Saccharomyces cerevisiae S288C: one gene and its partners. The gene in region 1 interacts genetically with each later gene. Each region holds a gene or a part of one and is shown in the gene's direction. Other genes may lie near its edges.

Evidence for each region.
Region 2: mutations in RTS3 (region 1) and MRT4 together harm fitness more than expected from each alone (negative genetic interaction), as found in Saccharomyces cerevisiae (2 studies listed by BioGRID).
Region 3: mutations in RTS3 (region 1) and SDS24 impair growth when combined (synthetic growth defect), as found in Saccharomyces cerevisiae (one study listed by BioGRID).
Region 4: mutations in RTS3 (region 1) and SDS23 impair growth when combined (synthetic growth defect), as found in Saccharomyces cerevisiae (one study listed by BioGRID).

What each region holds. Positions count from the first base shown.
Region 1 is NC_001139.9:807,571-811,484, reverse strand, and holds RTS3 (Rts3p), read left to right. Parts: upstream 1-2,064; coding exon 2,065-2,856; downstream 2,857-3,914. Other genes in the region: YGR161W-C (uncharacterized protein), read right to left, coding at 980-1,258; NSR1 (Nsr1p), read left to right, coding at 3,829-3,914. UniProt on the Saccharomyces cerevisiae protein: May be a component of a protein phosphatase type 2A (PP2A) complex. Negatively regulates SIT4 phosphatase, a modulators of caffeine sensitivity.
Region 2 is NC_001143.9:423,930-427,452, forward strand, and holds MRT4 (ribosome assembly factor MRT4), read left to right. Parts: upstream 1-2,312; coding exon 2,313-3,023; downstream 3,024-3,523. Other genes in the region: putative ubiquitin-protein ligase UFD4, read right to left, coding at 1-1,946; sphingosine N-acyltransferase LAC1, read right to left, coding at 3,366-3,523. UniProt on the Saccharomyces cerevisiae protein: Component of the ribosome assembly machinery. Nuclear paralog of the ribosomal protein P0, it binds pre-60S subunits at an early stage of assembly in the nucleolus, and is replaced by P0 in cytoplasmic pre-60S subunits and mature 80S ribosomes.
Region 3 is NC_001134.8:648,805-653,498, forward strand, and holds SDS24 (Sds24p), read left to right. Parts: upstream 1-2,610; coding exon 2,611-4,194; downstream 4,195-4,694. Other genes in the region: NGR1 (Ngr1p), read left to right, coding at 1-1,100; bifunctional precorrin-2 dehydrogenase/sirohydrochlorin ferrochelatase MET8, read left to right, coding at 1,564-2,388; HPC2 (Hpc2p), read left to right, coding at 4,552-4,564, 4,649-4,694. UniProt on the Saccharomyces cerevisiae protein: Involved in DNA replication and cell separation during budding.
Region 4 is NC_001139.9:394,833-399,156, reverse strand, and holds SDS23 (Sds23p), read left to right. Parts: upstream 1-1,538; coding exon 1,539-3,122; downstream 3,123-4,324. Other genes in the region: OLE1 (stearoyl-CoA 9-desaturase), read right to left, coding at 1-529; GEP7 (Gep7p), read left to right, coding at 3,328-4,191. UniProt on the Saccharomyces cerevisiae protein: Involved in DNA replication and cell separation during budding.

The sequences.
Region 1 (3,914 bases):
TACTAGTTAGTAGATGATAGTTGATTTTTATTCCAACAATATATATAAATTGCTGTAATCTAGAAAACTACAATGTGAATGCTAGTTACGTGGAAACAGAAGAATTAGTTTGAGTTTATATCTGGATTTCCTTTGATATATGGATAAGTAAGCTCGCTACGTGACATAAATATTTGAATAAGAATCAGAATTAGTGGGGCGATAAAGCAATTTCCGATCACCTCTCATGCGAATATACACTTTGCACACGTACTACCGCAAGCATTGTTATTTTTAAGGCACCTTTGACATGGCCAACGAGCGTTCATCTTTTATACCCCTTTCATAACTATATGAAGGTGTACGATTATTTTGAATGACTACTACAATTTAGCCGCTAATTATCAACATGAATCAAGCGGCTTATAATGCACTAAAATAATGTATCGTTGTACGATAGGTACATTATCGTTTCTACCATTGCAGAAATACGCGGCTCATATTTTACAAATCTTGGATTTTCGTGGTGAGGGGACCTGAGGGTTGTAGAAAATGTGACGTAGCGGAGATTCAAAAGAACGAAAACAAAATAGTAGATACCCCGCTCTGTGAGTTTCTTCAAGGGTTCGACAAATGAATTTAGATACCGTTCAAATTTTTGATTTTCTTGGCGTTCTAAGAATGTCCTATCACAGCCTTGCCACTATCTGACTGACGGAGAAGAACATTGAGATATGATGTTACATTTTTTTATATTCATGAATATTAGTGCGTATTTACAGTGAAAAGCAATCGTCCAGAAATGCATAAACGAAGAATCGATATATAAAACACATTGTATTATAAACTAAGTAACACGTCATCTTCTGCACCTCCCATTGCGACTTCTTTGAGTTCAATCTGTAAGCTAATCGTATGCCGTTTTTCAAACGTGTTTGAGTAGAAAAGTAGCCACCATATGTGCACGGTGAGCACAAAACGTATAGCTCGCATCAGGCGTTCACCAGCCTTGAATTCGGCTCTGTCTCAAGGAAGGATTAGTACTCGGACACGCCGTCGCCGTCTCTTGCAATAAGTCCATGTTCTTGCTCTGGAATAAGGTGAACTCTTTAAGTATTTTCTCTTCTAGGCTCAGTTCTCCGAGTTGTAGGGCAAAATCAACCATGCCACTACTGCCATGATCGCTGCTTGTGCCAGTAGCATCACCTATGAAGCCCTGATCGGCTTGAATATTTGCGAAATGTGCATTCGAAGAAAGATGGTTGAAGTATCCAGACATAATGCTGTATAATGTTGACTATAATCGGTTGTTTTAGCTCTGTGGTATACTACAGATGTGCTAAAATATGCCGAAATCACCACAATATACAATAAATACGATATCATCATGGACGCATGCACGACATATTACAAGGCGGGGGAAAGAAGAAACGGAGCGCCAGAGCCACAACGAGGAAGCGGGTTTGTGGCTCTCACATCACAGCCCGCCCCTACCAAGATCGTAAGCAACGTGTTCAACACGTACCAAAAAACCATAATGGCAAGCCAGCGTTTACCTCACCCGCGGATGACACATCCTGCTCTTACATATGATCGCGGGCTGTCCACAAAAAACAACCTGGAAATACCAAATTTGGCAGCTACCGCGGAGTAGTGGTCATGACGGAGAGAGTTGCCAAAAAGTGACTGACTCGACTCCCCTCACAGCCCGGATCAATTTTTCCATGCGTTTCCACGGAAATCCGAGGTTTGCCGTTAGAGTCCCAAATTGGCGATGGATGATGAGATAATGCGCCCTTATCAATCACGCTAAAAATTGCCCCACGCTGTACTCAACGATCATAGCTGGCTATTGTTATCGTTGGCTTAGATGGTTTCGCCCGTACAAAAATAGACTTGCATATATATAAAGCTTATCTTCGGCCTCAGTCGTCTAAAAAACTATCTTGCCTAACATTATCTTGTCTTCTTTTCGTTCCCTTGAATCATATATAAGAAAAGATAATCAATCATTCGGCTATTTTCTTACAGATACATACATACGTATAATTCATCAATCATAGCATTAATAGAAGATAAAGTATAATGATCGCTACCTCCAGAGCCGTAAACATGAATAAAGAATCAAAACACAAGAAGGCTGTTGCCAAACCATGCAGAGAGAGACAAACTTCAGTTACAAGAGCCATGAGACCAGCTGTAGCACGTGATCCTCGCAGACTTTCGACGTCGTCGTCTCCTTCTTCGTCACCAATGTCAGCACAGAGAAGGCTTTCGAGGGAAGAAATAATAAACGAAATGGAAAAGGAGCAAGACGCTATTGTAGTAAGACTTCTACGGGAAATTGAAACTTTAAAAGAAGAAAACTCTAGGTTAAAAAATCAACTGCACCATCCGGTCCCGGCTAGAAGGTCGTCTCCATTTTTCGAAGGCGAGTCTGCCATCCTAGATGATGATGACTGCAATTATGGTTACACCCTCGACACTCCAAAGCTAAAGCTCACAGATGGTGCATCCAGACACACCGTACTTCCCTTAACACCCAAGGACTCCATGACCCACATTTCCCATTCCGCCAGAAGGTCAAGCCGGAACGCTTCCATATCTAACGGAACAAGCATCTCAGACACGATTTTCCCCATTGAGACTAAAATCCACTCAGCACCAACAACAAACAGAAACCTTCCCTCCGCCGATCTTCCACATCACACTCTTCTTCCACGTTCTCTAAGCGGCATTTCGTCTAGCGATTTAACCGAATCCGGTGCTCTTCTTCATGACAGGAGAAGGCGTTCTTCCAATTACAGTCTCGATGGCTCAAACTCTTTAAAGGCTGATCTCATGGCAAAGAGATTCCAAACTGGTTCATTGAAATAGGCTGTAAGCGAGATACATAAGAAAACAGAGTTTCTCTAAATATATTCTTCCTATTGATCTTTGGCAATCCAACACATATGCAGTTCGTGCACTTGCGTTATAAGCGTGACTTCTCGCTTGGTTTTTTTTTATAATTTTTTTTTAAAACCTCATTCTAAGTACAACTTTGGCGTTTTTCCAAGCTACTACTTATAATTATATGGTTTATTTCATAAATATATATATATATATATATATATATAGAAAATCAATATACATTTAAGCCTTACTGGAGATGACACTATTTTTGTTCACATTTTTTCTTATGCTCTAAATACCTCGGCCTCATACGCAGAGACAGTGTTGATATGTTTTTATACAAAGTAAAGGCAAAGAGAAGGCACAGACAGGATTTCACAGGCAGCTAAGTAATAACGAATATGCTTGCTTCACATATTTTGCCGCCAAATTACACGCTATGGAGCTACGTTCTACTAGTGGTTACTTACCGCTAGCTATTTAAACCCCATCACGTTGATTGTCTATTTCGCTATAGGTTATTTTGCCAAGAAAACTTACTGGGCAATACTTACATCCATTCAGATTTTTGGATAAAGCAATTGAAGAAAGACGACAGCAATTCGACTGGTGGTTGTTAATTACCCTTTGATCCTCTGATTTAAAGACGTAATCCTTCCTGGGGGTAAGTGCCTGATGTATGGGTCCCCATGCCCTTTTTTTTCGTTTCTTTTTTCACTCCATTTCTTTTTTTTTTTTTTTTTTTGGTGAAAAATTTGCAAGGGCAGCTCATCGCAAGAACGAAAATTTTCAATCCAATATTAAAAGTACTTAAGTGTAGCTGTTGCTGTCTGCACTTCCCAATCCATTGGTACCTTAAGTTATTTCCTTTCGTAGTATTTTTCTTACTTTTGCTTCCCAAAGACGAACTGTTAACCAATTTCGGATCACTCAACCCAGGCAGGATAAAATAAGATGGCTAAGACTACTAAAGTAAAAGGTAACAAGAAGGAAGTTAAGGCTTCCAAACAAGCCAAAGAAGAAAAAGCTAAGGCCGTCTC
Region 2 (3,523 bases), on another chromosome or scaffold:
TCCTCAATACTGCTATGCAAATCCCCTTCTTCGTCAGAAAGTGAAATATTTTCATTCCCGTCTTCCTTTAAATCAATGTTATTGAAATCCACAGACAAATCCTTAACCAAATCAAAAATGCCCTCTCTTTTGATGGAAGGAAAGAACAGTTCGGAAAACTTTTTACAAATTAAGTCAAGCAACGAGAGACCACCAACCAACAGTGTACCAGCTTCTGATGAGTAAGTACCATTAGCGTTAGACGCTGTTTCTTTTTGGGCCAGGATAGATCCGATTAACTTAATAAGTTGATCATTGATTGCCTTTGCTGTGGAATTATTTATGCATGATACAACCCTCAGTAAAGCAATAAGTACGTATCTTCTTACGTCAAAGTCAGCAGCATTTGTATAAATTTCAACGAGAATTGGAATTAGACATTGAACTAGGGAATCAAACTTTTCCTGGTTAGAAATTACGCCACGGTCGCTATTTCCGGTATATTTATCCGCTGACAGTATTCTTTCATCCTCGGGAGGAAACAATACAACTATAAATCTAGAAATGCTAATCAATAAACTGTTTGGGACATAAATCAGTGTTTCATGTAACCCTGCGTTAGGACTTTTACTATAATGCTGGAATGATCGTGTTGCCATGTCGACAATGTCAGTTTTCTCTCTCAGTTCTCTTGAAAGTACATCACTACTCATCGCTAATACGGTTAAAATATCCAAACATTTCAGTTTATTCTCCAAGGGGGTATCCTGAATAGAAACTAGCTGAACTATTCTTTCGATTAAATCCAACGAAAACAAAGTCTCAAATTTGTCAACCCCATGCAACGCCCCGCAAATACCGTACATGGCATTTACAAGCCTGGTTAATATTGGTTGGTCTGTCGCATTCGAGAAAATTGGCTTCAGCGTTGGAAGTACTTCAACAATGGTCTTAAAGTCATCCGTTCGGATACTGCTACAGGCGTTCGAAACAATTGCGATAGCCTTCCTCTGCGCATGTATAGTTAAAAAATCGAAGAATTGGACGTAGATTGATAATTGGCCCGTTTTTAAAATGTCTCTCCCATGTACTCTAGAAATATATTCCACCGTTTCTAAAACTTGTTCTGCGAGGTCAATGTAACTGATCTCTACCAATTTTCCTTGTAAAATTGGTATAACGTGTTCATCAACAGCTATTGAAATAGATTCAGGGCAGACCTCAAAAAGATTATACATGCATCTACAAGCTTGCATTTGTAATTCTAATTCTTCCCGTAAAATTTTATCAGAGAGTATGGCAGCTATATTACCTATTAAGGTTTCCATCGGTATAATTCTATCGACAACCATTTGATTCATCATTAATATGTTTTCAGAAAGTTCTTTTAAACTCTCCATTGCAATATAAGGATCCTCGGAGGCATTCCCAGTATTCTCTATCAATTTAGAAATCCGCTCATTCCTTGCCGAACTCTCTGCGCTCCTCTCCATCCTTCCTCCAATCATCGATAAAATCTCGGGTAGTGTTCTTCCAACCGGGTGTTGCCCAAGTCCTTCACTTGTTTGTCTTCTTTGTTCTAGTCTTTGTGCGAATGTTTCCAAAATGTCAGGTAAATGTAGGGGGTTGCTGCCAAATTCATTATTATCGTGAGAACGTTCAAGTCCATCTTCTTCTTCATTTCTGTCTTCGTCACTGCCATTCTGAGTTCTATGATATCCATATAAAAGTCCAGAATCATCTTCATGATGGTAATCGTTATCGTCATCTTCACCATCATCTGCCTCAAAACTTCCGACGCTAGAAAGCATATGTTCATCTTCATCTTCATCAGGATAATAAGAGTACTCACCCTGTACATGGCCATCCTCATCATAGTCATCTTCTACCTGCGTATCCATCATATAATCACTGTTTTCGCTATGGGACTCATGTTCATCAAGGTTGTGCGAATTATTTTCAGACATGCTTGGCTACTCTTCTATTTTAAATGTTTATCCAAAATTTTCACACCTGAGATATATTGTTGTTAATAAAGCACACAGAAAGGAAAGTATCGATCCCAGAAAGTGGTCTTTCCCTGGGTATGATCAAAGCTATTCCCCTTTCCAACTACTGTTGGCTATGATCCCACAATTTGATTTCAGTTCAGAAAACCCAACCATTAGGACTTTACCCGGCGAAGGTGAAAGAAAAAATTTTTTTCCAGAAAAATGCGATGAGCTTTTGAAAAGTTGCAAATATTTGTAGTACTTTGGCTAAGCAGAGCTGATTCCTTTTGCTATACGTACATCACTGTCTATCGTCCATAAAAGATTTATTATAGTTGAATCATGCCAAGATCAAAACGTTCCAAGCTAGTCACTTTAGCACAAACCGATAAAAAGGGCAGAGAAAATAAAGAAAGAATTTTCGATGAAGTGAGGGAAGCCTTAGATACTTATAGATACGTCTGGGTCCTACATCTTGACGACGTAAGAACTCCAGTTTTACAAGAAATCAGAACATCTTGGGCAGGCTCTAAGTTAATTATGGGTAAGAGGAAAGTTTTACAAAAAGCATTGGGAGAAAAGAGGGAAGAAGAATACAAAGAAAATCTGTATCAATTGAGTAAGCTTTGTAGCGGTGTCACTGGTTTATTGTTCACTGATGAGGATGTCAACACTGTCAAGGAATACTTTAAGTCATACGTTCGTTCAGACTATTCAAGACCGAACACGAAAGCACCACTAACATTTACAATTCCTGAGGGCATTGTCTACTCACGTGGTGGTCAAATTCCAGCTGAGGAAGATGTTCCAATGATTCATTCTTTAGAGCCAACTATGAGAAACAAATTTGAAATTCCAACTAAAATCAAAGCTGGTAAGATCACCATTGACAGTCCATATTTAGTTTGCACTGAAGGAGAAAAATTAGATGTTCGTCAAGCTTTAATACTGAAACAATTCGGTATCGCTGCTTCTGAATTCAAAGTCAAGGTGTCGGCCTACTATGACAACGATAGCTCCACTGTTGAAAGCACTAACATCAACATGGAATAAGCTGAACTATTATTTGGAAGCCTTTTTTAATAGACCATTGTATAAAAATTTCTTTTTTTTGTATAGATATACTAAAGCAACGCTCATAAATGTAACATAGCTTCTTTTCAACTGAGAATTTATATTCATGCTAACTAAGCGTAAATCACTTTTGATCTTCACAGCTCTTTAGCGGCACGAAAGCAAGAAAAAAAGATAACACTGTATGTCTGGAAAAGAATACTATAAAAATACCTGTTTACATAAACCAATAAGGAAGAACGTGAGAGCAGGACCGTAAAAGAATTAATGTGTAAAGAATTAATGTGTAATGGTTATACTACTTAAAAACACCGTTTTCCTTCAAATATCCTTTTTCGTTGGAGTACTGTCAGTTGGAGTAGTGGAACTTTCATCACTTTCTTCGTCTGATTCACTATCACTTCTGTCATCCTTGAGAATACCTCTCCATAGAATCCTGTAAAGAACTCTAAAAATAAGGAACAGCCAATAAAGATTCA
Region 3 (4,694 bases), on another chromosome or scaffold:
TTAAGACTGCAAATAATCTCATTCAAAACAATAGCAACATGCTTCCTCTCAATGCCTTGCATAACGCGCCTCCAATGCATTTGAATGAGGGCGGCATTTCAAACATGCGTGTAAATGATTCACTACCTTCAAACACCTATAATACAGACCCCACTAATACTACTGTTTTTGTGGGAGGACTGGTACCAAAAACTACCGAATTTCAATTACGTTCACTATTCAAACCCTTTGGACCCATTCTAAATGTCAGGATTCCCAATGGTAAAAACTGTGGGTTTGTTAAATTCGAGAAGAGGATTGATGCTGAAGCTTCAATACAAGGCCTGCAAGGCTTTATTGTGGGCGGCAGTCCAATAAGATTATCATGGGGACGCCCATCCAGTTCAAATGCTAAAACAAATTCGACCATCATGGGGGCAAGCCAATATATGTCCTCAAATGGCCTGAGAGCGCCATCTGCGGCTTCTTCAGTCGATAACTCCAAACAAATTCTTGAACAATATGCGGAAGATAAAAGGCGACTCTTTTTACATCAGCAGCAGCAGCAGCAGCAGCAGCAGCAACAGGATGGTAACTTTTCTATGGAGCAAATGGCGCACAACAACTATTACAACTACAATAATTACGATTATCACAGGAACAAGAATGGCAGCCATAGCGACCTCGTTAATCTGCAGAGATCTAATGTCCCGTATATGCAAGAAGACGGTGCACTGTACCCACACCAATATTCAAGTCCCTCATACTCGCTCCATCCGACGGGCAACCAATTCTCCAATGCTACTAATAACTTACCTCAATTTGGGAACGCGATGTCAATTTCTATGCAACTGCCCAATGGCAACAGCAATAAAACGGCCTCAAGCATGAACACAAACCCTAACACAAACATGATCATGAATTCTAACATGAACATGAACATGAACGTAAATCCAGTACCATACGGAATGGGAAACGGTGCAAATATGTATGACGTGTCCAGGATGATGACTCCTCCCTTAAATATAGCCCCGAATTCCAATAATTCGAAATCGAGCATCATGAACAAGCATCCTAATAGGAACAATGTTCCGCCAATTCATCCTTCTCTTCTACATTGATTACAAAAGACAAAAAAAGAAAATTTTAATCTTGTCCGCAGTTTTATCTGCGTCTCTACGTTCTTACGTTTCTTCTATTAATGCCATTTCAGTTACAACCTAGTCAATTGTCGATCCATAATTCTAATCAAATTTGTTTTTCCTCTATACTACCTATCTATTTTTATCTATCTAAGTACATTTATTTACTCAAACAGTTCCGTTTCAAAGTGTTTTATATTAACTATATATGCGAAAAGCTGGCGTCATAATTTCACGTGTTATAATAGCCATGCTGACGGAAAAAAAATGTGAAAATCGCTACAAAGTCCGATGACTACGGGCAGTAGCATGTAAATGATGGACACACACACACACATATATATATATATACATTTACTTCAATAAAAGGCTGTGCCAGACATTTTTGCCATACATTGTTCATGAAGTGTGCAAAATAAGAGAGTGTATAATAGGATAAAAAATGGTCAAATCGCTACAGCTAGCCCATCAATTAAAAGACAAGAAAATACTACTAATCGGAGGCGGAGAAGTCGGCTTGACAAGGTTATATAAGCTGATACCTACAGGTTGCAAGCTGACTTTAGTATCTCCTGACCTACACAAATCCATTATTCCGAAGTTTGGAAAATTCATCCAGAACGAGGATCAGCCCGACTACAGAGAAGACGCTAAACGCTTTATCAATCCGAACTGGGACCCCACGAAGAATGAAATTTACGAGTACATCCGCAGTGACTTCAAAGACGAATACCTCGACCTAGAAGACGAGAACGACGCGTGGTACATAATAATGACCTGTATACCCGACCACCCTGAAAGCGCAAGAATATATCACCTTTGTAAGGAAAGATTCGGTAAGCAGCAGCTGGTCAATGTGGCGGACAAACCTGATCTCTGTGACTTTTATTTCGGCGCCAACCTGGAGATAGGAGACCGTCTACAGATTCTGATCTCTACCAACGGCCTTTCTCCGCGCTTTGGCGCTCTAGTAAGAGATGAGATCCGTAACTTATTCACACAAATGGGGGATCTGGCGCTGGAGGACGCTGTCGTCAAACTAGGTGAGCTGAGAAGAGGAATTAGGCTGCTGGCACCAGACGACAAGGATGTCAAGTACCGCATGGATTGGGCCAGACGCTGCACAGACCTCTTCGGCATTCAGCACTGCCACAACATCGACGTAAAACGTCTGCTGGATCTTTTCAAGGTCATGTTTCAAGAACAGAACTGTTCCTTGCAGTTCCCTCCCAGAGAACGGTTGCTTAGCGAGTACTGCTCGTCTTGAGCGACAGGGCCTCCTCTTTTAAGGGGCGCGTCCTTTCTATTGTGTAGAGAAAATCTACTGGGATTTTGTATATATTTCGCATATATAGGGGTTGGAGAACGAACAACAATGCCTGTTCAGATCAACTTTTCTTCTATCTTATCAGGCAAGATCAGGCACACAACCCAACTATAATAACTATAAACACTTATAGAACAATTACCGTTTCTTCCTTCACACAACATGGCTTCTACTTCGAACACGTTCCCTCCAAGCCAAAGCAATTCTTCCAACAACCTTCCAACTTCTAGACATGCATCCATTGTGGAGATGCTGTCTACTCCGCCATTGCTGCCCCACGTTCAAGTGAACGATACAGACGACAAGGAACAACCAGAAGAGTCCACGCCGCCAACAGCAACAGCGGCAGCGCCTGGTCCAGGTTGTGCTGCTACACCCGCCCCCTTGCGCGATGAAAAGCCTCAATTCAAACTATCAGCTGTTCCTATGACCCAGACGCCATCGCAGTGTCTGTCATGTGTGCACGCCCAAAAATGGCAACACATACCGTTGTCGCAATTGATCGAACAGAATAAGCTTATTTTTGTTCCAGGTTCCATATCGGTAGAGGAGGCATTCAACACTTTGATCAAGTATCATCTAAACTCTATTCCCGTGGAATCTTTCCCCGGCGACATGAACTGTTTTACTTTCGACTACAATGACCTTAATTCGTACCTTTTGCTGGTTTTGAATAAAATCACCGTCAGCAACAAACAGCTTACTGCAGATTGCCAGAATGGAAAACCCGTACCAGTGGGCGAAATGGTGAAACTAACTCCTAAGAATCCGTTCTATAAGCTGCCGGAGAATGAGAGTTTGTCCACGGTGATGGGGATTCTCGGTTCGGGTGTCCATCGTGTAGCGATAACAAACGAAGAGATGACCAAAGTTAAAGGTATTTTGTCCCAACGTCGTTTGATAAAGTATCTTTGGGACAACGCTAGATCTTTTACAAGCTTAGAACCTCTATTAAACTCCTCATTACAAGATTTGCACATCGGTGTTCTCAATATTCAATCTAAGCCAACTTCAAGACAATCCCGTGTCATCTCTATTCAAGGCGAGGAGCCCTTAATCATGGGCCTTTATAAAATGCATGTGGAAAGAATTTCTTCCATTGCAGTCATCGACAAACAAGGTAATTTGCTAGGTAACATATCGGTAACGGACGTAAAACATGTCACAAGAACCTCCCAATACCCCTTACTACATAAGACATGTCGCCATTTCATTTCTGTCATTTTAAACTCCAGAGGATTAGAAACGGGTAAAGATTCTTTCCCCATTTTTCACGTATACCCCAGTAGTTCACTAGCAAGGACTCTTGCCAAGTTAGTTGCTACAAAGTCTCATAGACTATGGATCGTACAACCGCCGGAGTCGTCAACCTCGGCGTCATCCACAAATTTAACAGCTGCTAATACTGCAGCCAATGCAGTTTCTGCCACCGCTCAATCGTCTGCTAATGGTGCGACTCCAATGTCAAAGTCATCCTCTTCAACATCCCTCAACTCCCACTCTCCGTTGATGACAGCAATGGAAGACCCACCATCCCCACGTTCTTCGGCCATCGCGATCCCACCACCAAGTCCCGCTTCCTCAACAAACACACCAAACCTATTCGAAAAGGAATATAGAACGGGTAAGTTGATCGGTGTGGTCTCATTGACAGACATCATCAACTTATTAGCAAGGAAACAAACAGGGAATAAAGAAGTGGATCCGCAATCCGCAAGAAGACAGAGAGGCAGTATCGCCATGTGAGGCTTGCAGCGTTGTCTTTTCCCGCTGTTTCCCTCTCCCTCAAAAAAAAAAATCTTTTACAATGACTAAAAGAAAATATTGTTCATTTATATGGTTTTAAGTATTTTGTAGACATTTAAGCGTATATACTTGTTCTGAAAACATTTATATATTCTATTTTGTATATTCAACTTATTAAACTCTGACTTTTGCTATTGTCGCGTATATGTATATCTTTTTTTCTTGTCGTGGAAAATTAAAGCAAAATATGTCAGGCGAATGTACACACAATGCAGAAACTGATGCGGTTAATTTTGCATTCTGAAACGATTTAAACGAACAGCATTAACCTCCACGACCATATTCAAACGATTGGAAATGGACCAAAAAGGTATGTTCTGGCTTTATTTTCAATTATCCGCCCTTCGTTAGGGGTGTTTTAGATCATTTTGATTAACAATTCTATTTATGATAGCAATTGTCCTTGATAACTCTAAAAGTGGTAGTAAACAGACAAAATC
Region 4 (4,324 bases), 410 kb from region 1:
ATCTCAATGGCCAGTGAGCGGAGTAAGATCTGTGAGACCATAATCTATGGTAACCGGCAGTAATAGAAACACCACCGACAGCGTAGTAGAAAACGGAGAAAAGGAAAACGTTTAAATGCAAAGGCACTTTACCAGAGAGAGCAAAGTACCAACCAATCATTGGCATACCACAAACAAGAACCATGTTCAACCAGTTCAAATGTTGGTGCCAGTTATTCAAAGTCCATGGTTGTTCGGAGATGTGAATTTTAGTTTTAGCTTCTTCTTTTTCTTGGTTGTCCTTTTCTAGCAGACGATCCAAATTGGACTTCTTTTCGTTTCCCTTCTTGTCGAATTCCACGGAAACCATTTCCTTGGAGCCCATTAAAGAACCAAAACCGTTGACAATTCTTGGTGCTTTCTTATTCAAACCAGTAGCCAAAATATTAGCTTCCGTTAAGTCGACTTCGTCGACAATGCCACTGCTGGCAGAGTCATCCTTTGGAAATTGGTCGTCAATCAATTCAATAGTAGTTCCAGAAGTTGGCATCTTTGTTGTAATGTTTTAGTGCTGTTTATAATATGATCACCACAACTATCTATTACTATGATGTTCTATTCTACGTAATACAAAATATAAACGGAAACAGAAGTAGGAAAGATGGAAATAGAACAATAAATGAATCAAGATCTGCCCCCATATATATATGTATATGCTGATTTGCAAGACTCGATGAGCCAGGAGCCGATGATTTGCTGCATATATTGTTAACTACTATTATTTCCACCTTTGTGTGCCATCCCCATAGCCGTAACAATAGGGATAGGTGTGTCTGAGTGAGCAAGACTCGTAGAAGCACACCTGGTTGGGCACTAGATAAGGTTTGTTGAGTGTTCAACGTCCGAAAGAAAGCTGCCGACTATGCGAAGAGAACCTTAAGCCGTTATTACCTCTGCCTGTCACAGGCGATGTGATGCTAACGAACAGCACCAGAGCCAAGCCAACTGGGGCGGTCTGCAGAGAAGGCTGGGATACCCGAAATAGCTCGCTCAACAGCTTTTTTTCTTCTACGGAAGCCCACCAGATAAGCGCCTTTGTTGGGCCCGCTAACCCCGGGACATGCCCGGGCTCGGAGTTAGTTTTTGGCCACCGGGCGCCCGAAAAATGCTTCAGAAAAGAGCCATAGTCACGGAGAATCTTGACGTGCATAATGATTAGATATGACACCCTCATTCTCATTTGGATTTATTATCACGTGATGGTATAACCCGGACTGGAACTACATATCCGCTAATCCTTGACTTATTTCCATGTGTCATTTATTTTTTTTTTTTTTTTTTTTCCTTTTTTTTTTCCGCCCGGCAAATGAAATGAAAAATGGGTGATGGAGAAACCATGAGGTTTTTGAGAAATTTCACAGATGACTATAAACTTAGCGATATCATCTCGTACAGAAAAGTAACCAAACCTGCAAACGAAAAGCTTACTTTTGTTAAAAGCGTATCAAGCTAGCGATACGAATACCTCAGAACATCATCTTTTCAGCAAGACCCACCCAATGCCTCAAAATACAAGACACACGTCCATCGTAGAAATGCTTTCTACCCCACCTCAATTACCGAATTCCACAGATTTAAATAGTTTGAGCGAACAGACAGACAAGAACACTGAAGCAAACAAAAGCGACACAGAATCACTACATAAATCTATTTCGAAATCGTCATCTTCATCTTCTCTCTCCACGCTGGATAACACGGAATACTCAAACAATAATGGCAACTCCTTGTCCACCTTGAATTCACAGAATCTGTTATCTGTTCATAGGCAGGAGTGGCAACACACTCCTCTGTCAAATTTGGTGGAACAGAACAAATTGATTTTCATCAGAGGTTCTATTTCCGTAGAGGAAGCATTCAACACGCTGGTCAAGCACCAGCTAACGTCTTTGCCTGTGGAGAATTTTCCGGGAGACATGAATTGTTTAACATTCGACTATAATGATCTCAATGCGTACCTTCTTCTTGTATTAAACAGGATCAAGGTGAGCAACGACAAGATAACCTCAGACTGCCAGAATGGTAAGTCCGTGCCCGTGGGCGAGATAGTAAAGTTGACACCTAAGAATCCATTCTACAAATTGCCCGAAACGGAAAACTTATCGACGGTAATAGGCATACTAGGCTCAGGTGTGCATCGTGTTGCCATCACGAACGTGGAAATGACACAGATTAAAGGTATACTTTCCCAACGTCGATTGATTAAGTATCTGTGGGAGAATGCGAGATCATTTCCCAACTTGAAGCCTCTCTTGGACTCTTCCCTGGAGGAGCTGAATATTGGTGTACTAAATGCAGCCCGTGATAAACCTACATTCAAGCAGTCACGTGTCATATCCATCCAAGGTGACGAGCATCTAATTATGGCTCTGCATAAAATGTATGTCGAAAGAATCTCTTCCATTGCGGTAGTTGACCCGCAGGGAAACTTGATTGGTAATATTTCAGTAACAGACGTCAAACACGTCACCAGAACTTCACAATATCCTTTATTACACAATACATGTCGTCATTTTGTCTCGGTTATTTTGAATTTAAGGGGCCTAGAGACCGGTAAGGACTCATTTCCTATTTTCCATGTGTATCCAACAAGTTCCCTGGCAAGAACGTTTGCCAAATTGGTCGCTACCAAATCTCACAGATTATGGATAGTACAACCAAATGACAATCAACCAACAGCATCTTCCGAAAAATCCTCATCTCCATCACCAAGTACTCCACCCGTAACGACATTGCCATCGCTTGCGTCGTCATACCATTCGAACACGCAATCTTCCAGGATGGCCAACTCTCCTGTTCTAAAATCTTCAGATACATCAAACAATAAAATAAATGTAAATATAAATTTGAGTGGTCCCTCACCTTCTCAACCACAGTCTCCATCGGCCACAATGCCACCACCTCAAAGTCCAAGTAATTGTCCCGCATCTCCAACTCCAGCACATTTCGAAAAGGAGTATAGAACAGGTAAATTGATAGGTGTTGTGTCATTGACTGACATATTAAGTGTTTTGGCAAGAAAACAAACGCATCATAAGGAAATTGATCCGCAGATGGCAAGAAAGCAAAGAGGGCATATAGGCTGAAACAAACCAGACGAAAAAAACTGGCTTCATTTAACTACATATACATATATAAGGGTTTTTCTGATTTTTATTTTATCCCAATAAAGTTTGATTTTTTTTTTTTTACTTTTATTATGCACTGGGGCGAGGTTTTTAGGCCCTTTCTTTTCTTAGAGGAAATATATACACATGTTCTCGCTAAAATCAGTTAAAAGGTCCGATTGAGATGGTACTGTCAAATGTTAAAATCTTCAGATTAAAATCGCATAGAGCCTTCAGAATCGGTCCCATGATTAAAGCAGTCGCAGGAAATCTTTTGGTAAAGAGATTTTATCAACCAAAATTAGAAAGAATTCCACCGGCTTCACTGCTTTTGAAGCAGAAAATACGGTTAGCTCAAAATGGCAGTACTACATCTACAGAAAACCCCATTTCCTTCTCACAGACCATGTCCGAGATATTTAGCGTCTTGCAGCCAAGTGCACCAGATCTAGATGAAGACGAAACAAGTGGTTTGAAACGCGATCATTTATTAACTGAGCGTCTAAACAACGGCGAGCTTGGTGTCATTATGAACAAATTCTTCAATCCGTCTTCGACACATAACAATCAGTTGATAGATACGAATATATTACTTCAGAATTTTCCTAAGTTAAGTGGTAATGACTTAGATTTATTGGATTTTGCCATAAATGAGAAAATGCGAGGAAACTGGAATGATCTAAAGCAAGATTTCATTCAGTTGTGGTACTACAAGTCATTTGGCTTTCTTGGACCTCGAACTCAATTTGTCCTGACAAACTCTTCTCCGTCAGTTAGGTCCCAATTCTTGAAACTTCCATTCATCGAATATAATTGGTTTCTCCTACAAAATAACAAAAACGCAAATATACTACCTGCTGATGTGCAAAACGTGGTCAAGGTGTTTCATCTTGATGATAAAAGGTTTACTTGGAAGAGCATAGATCCATTCAGCAAAGCTATAATTTCATTCGTCGTTTTTGTTTCCATATATGTGTGGTTGGATGAAAGTGCAAAACAAAAAACGAAGGAGCTGCCCGCACAGAAGAGTACTGTAATATCAGAATAAAAAAAAATGGGGTCACTCTTCATTCTTGCAGTTAAAAGTGCCACTCACTCATGATTTTTTTTTTTCCTGTTTTTTTGATTTTTTTTATATATTATACATTAAGTTATCTAAGTAAATATATTCTTTCTACTCT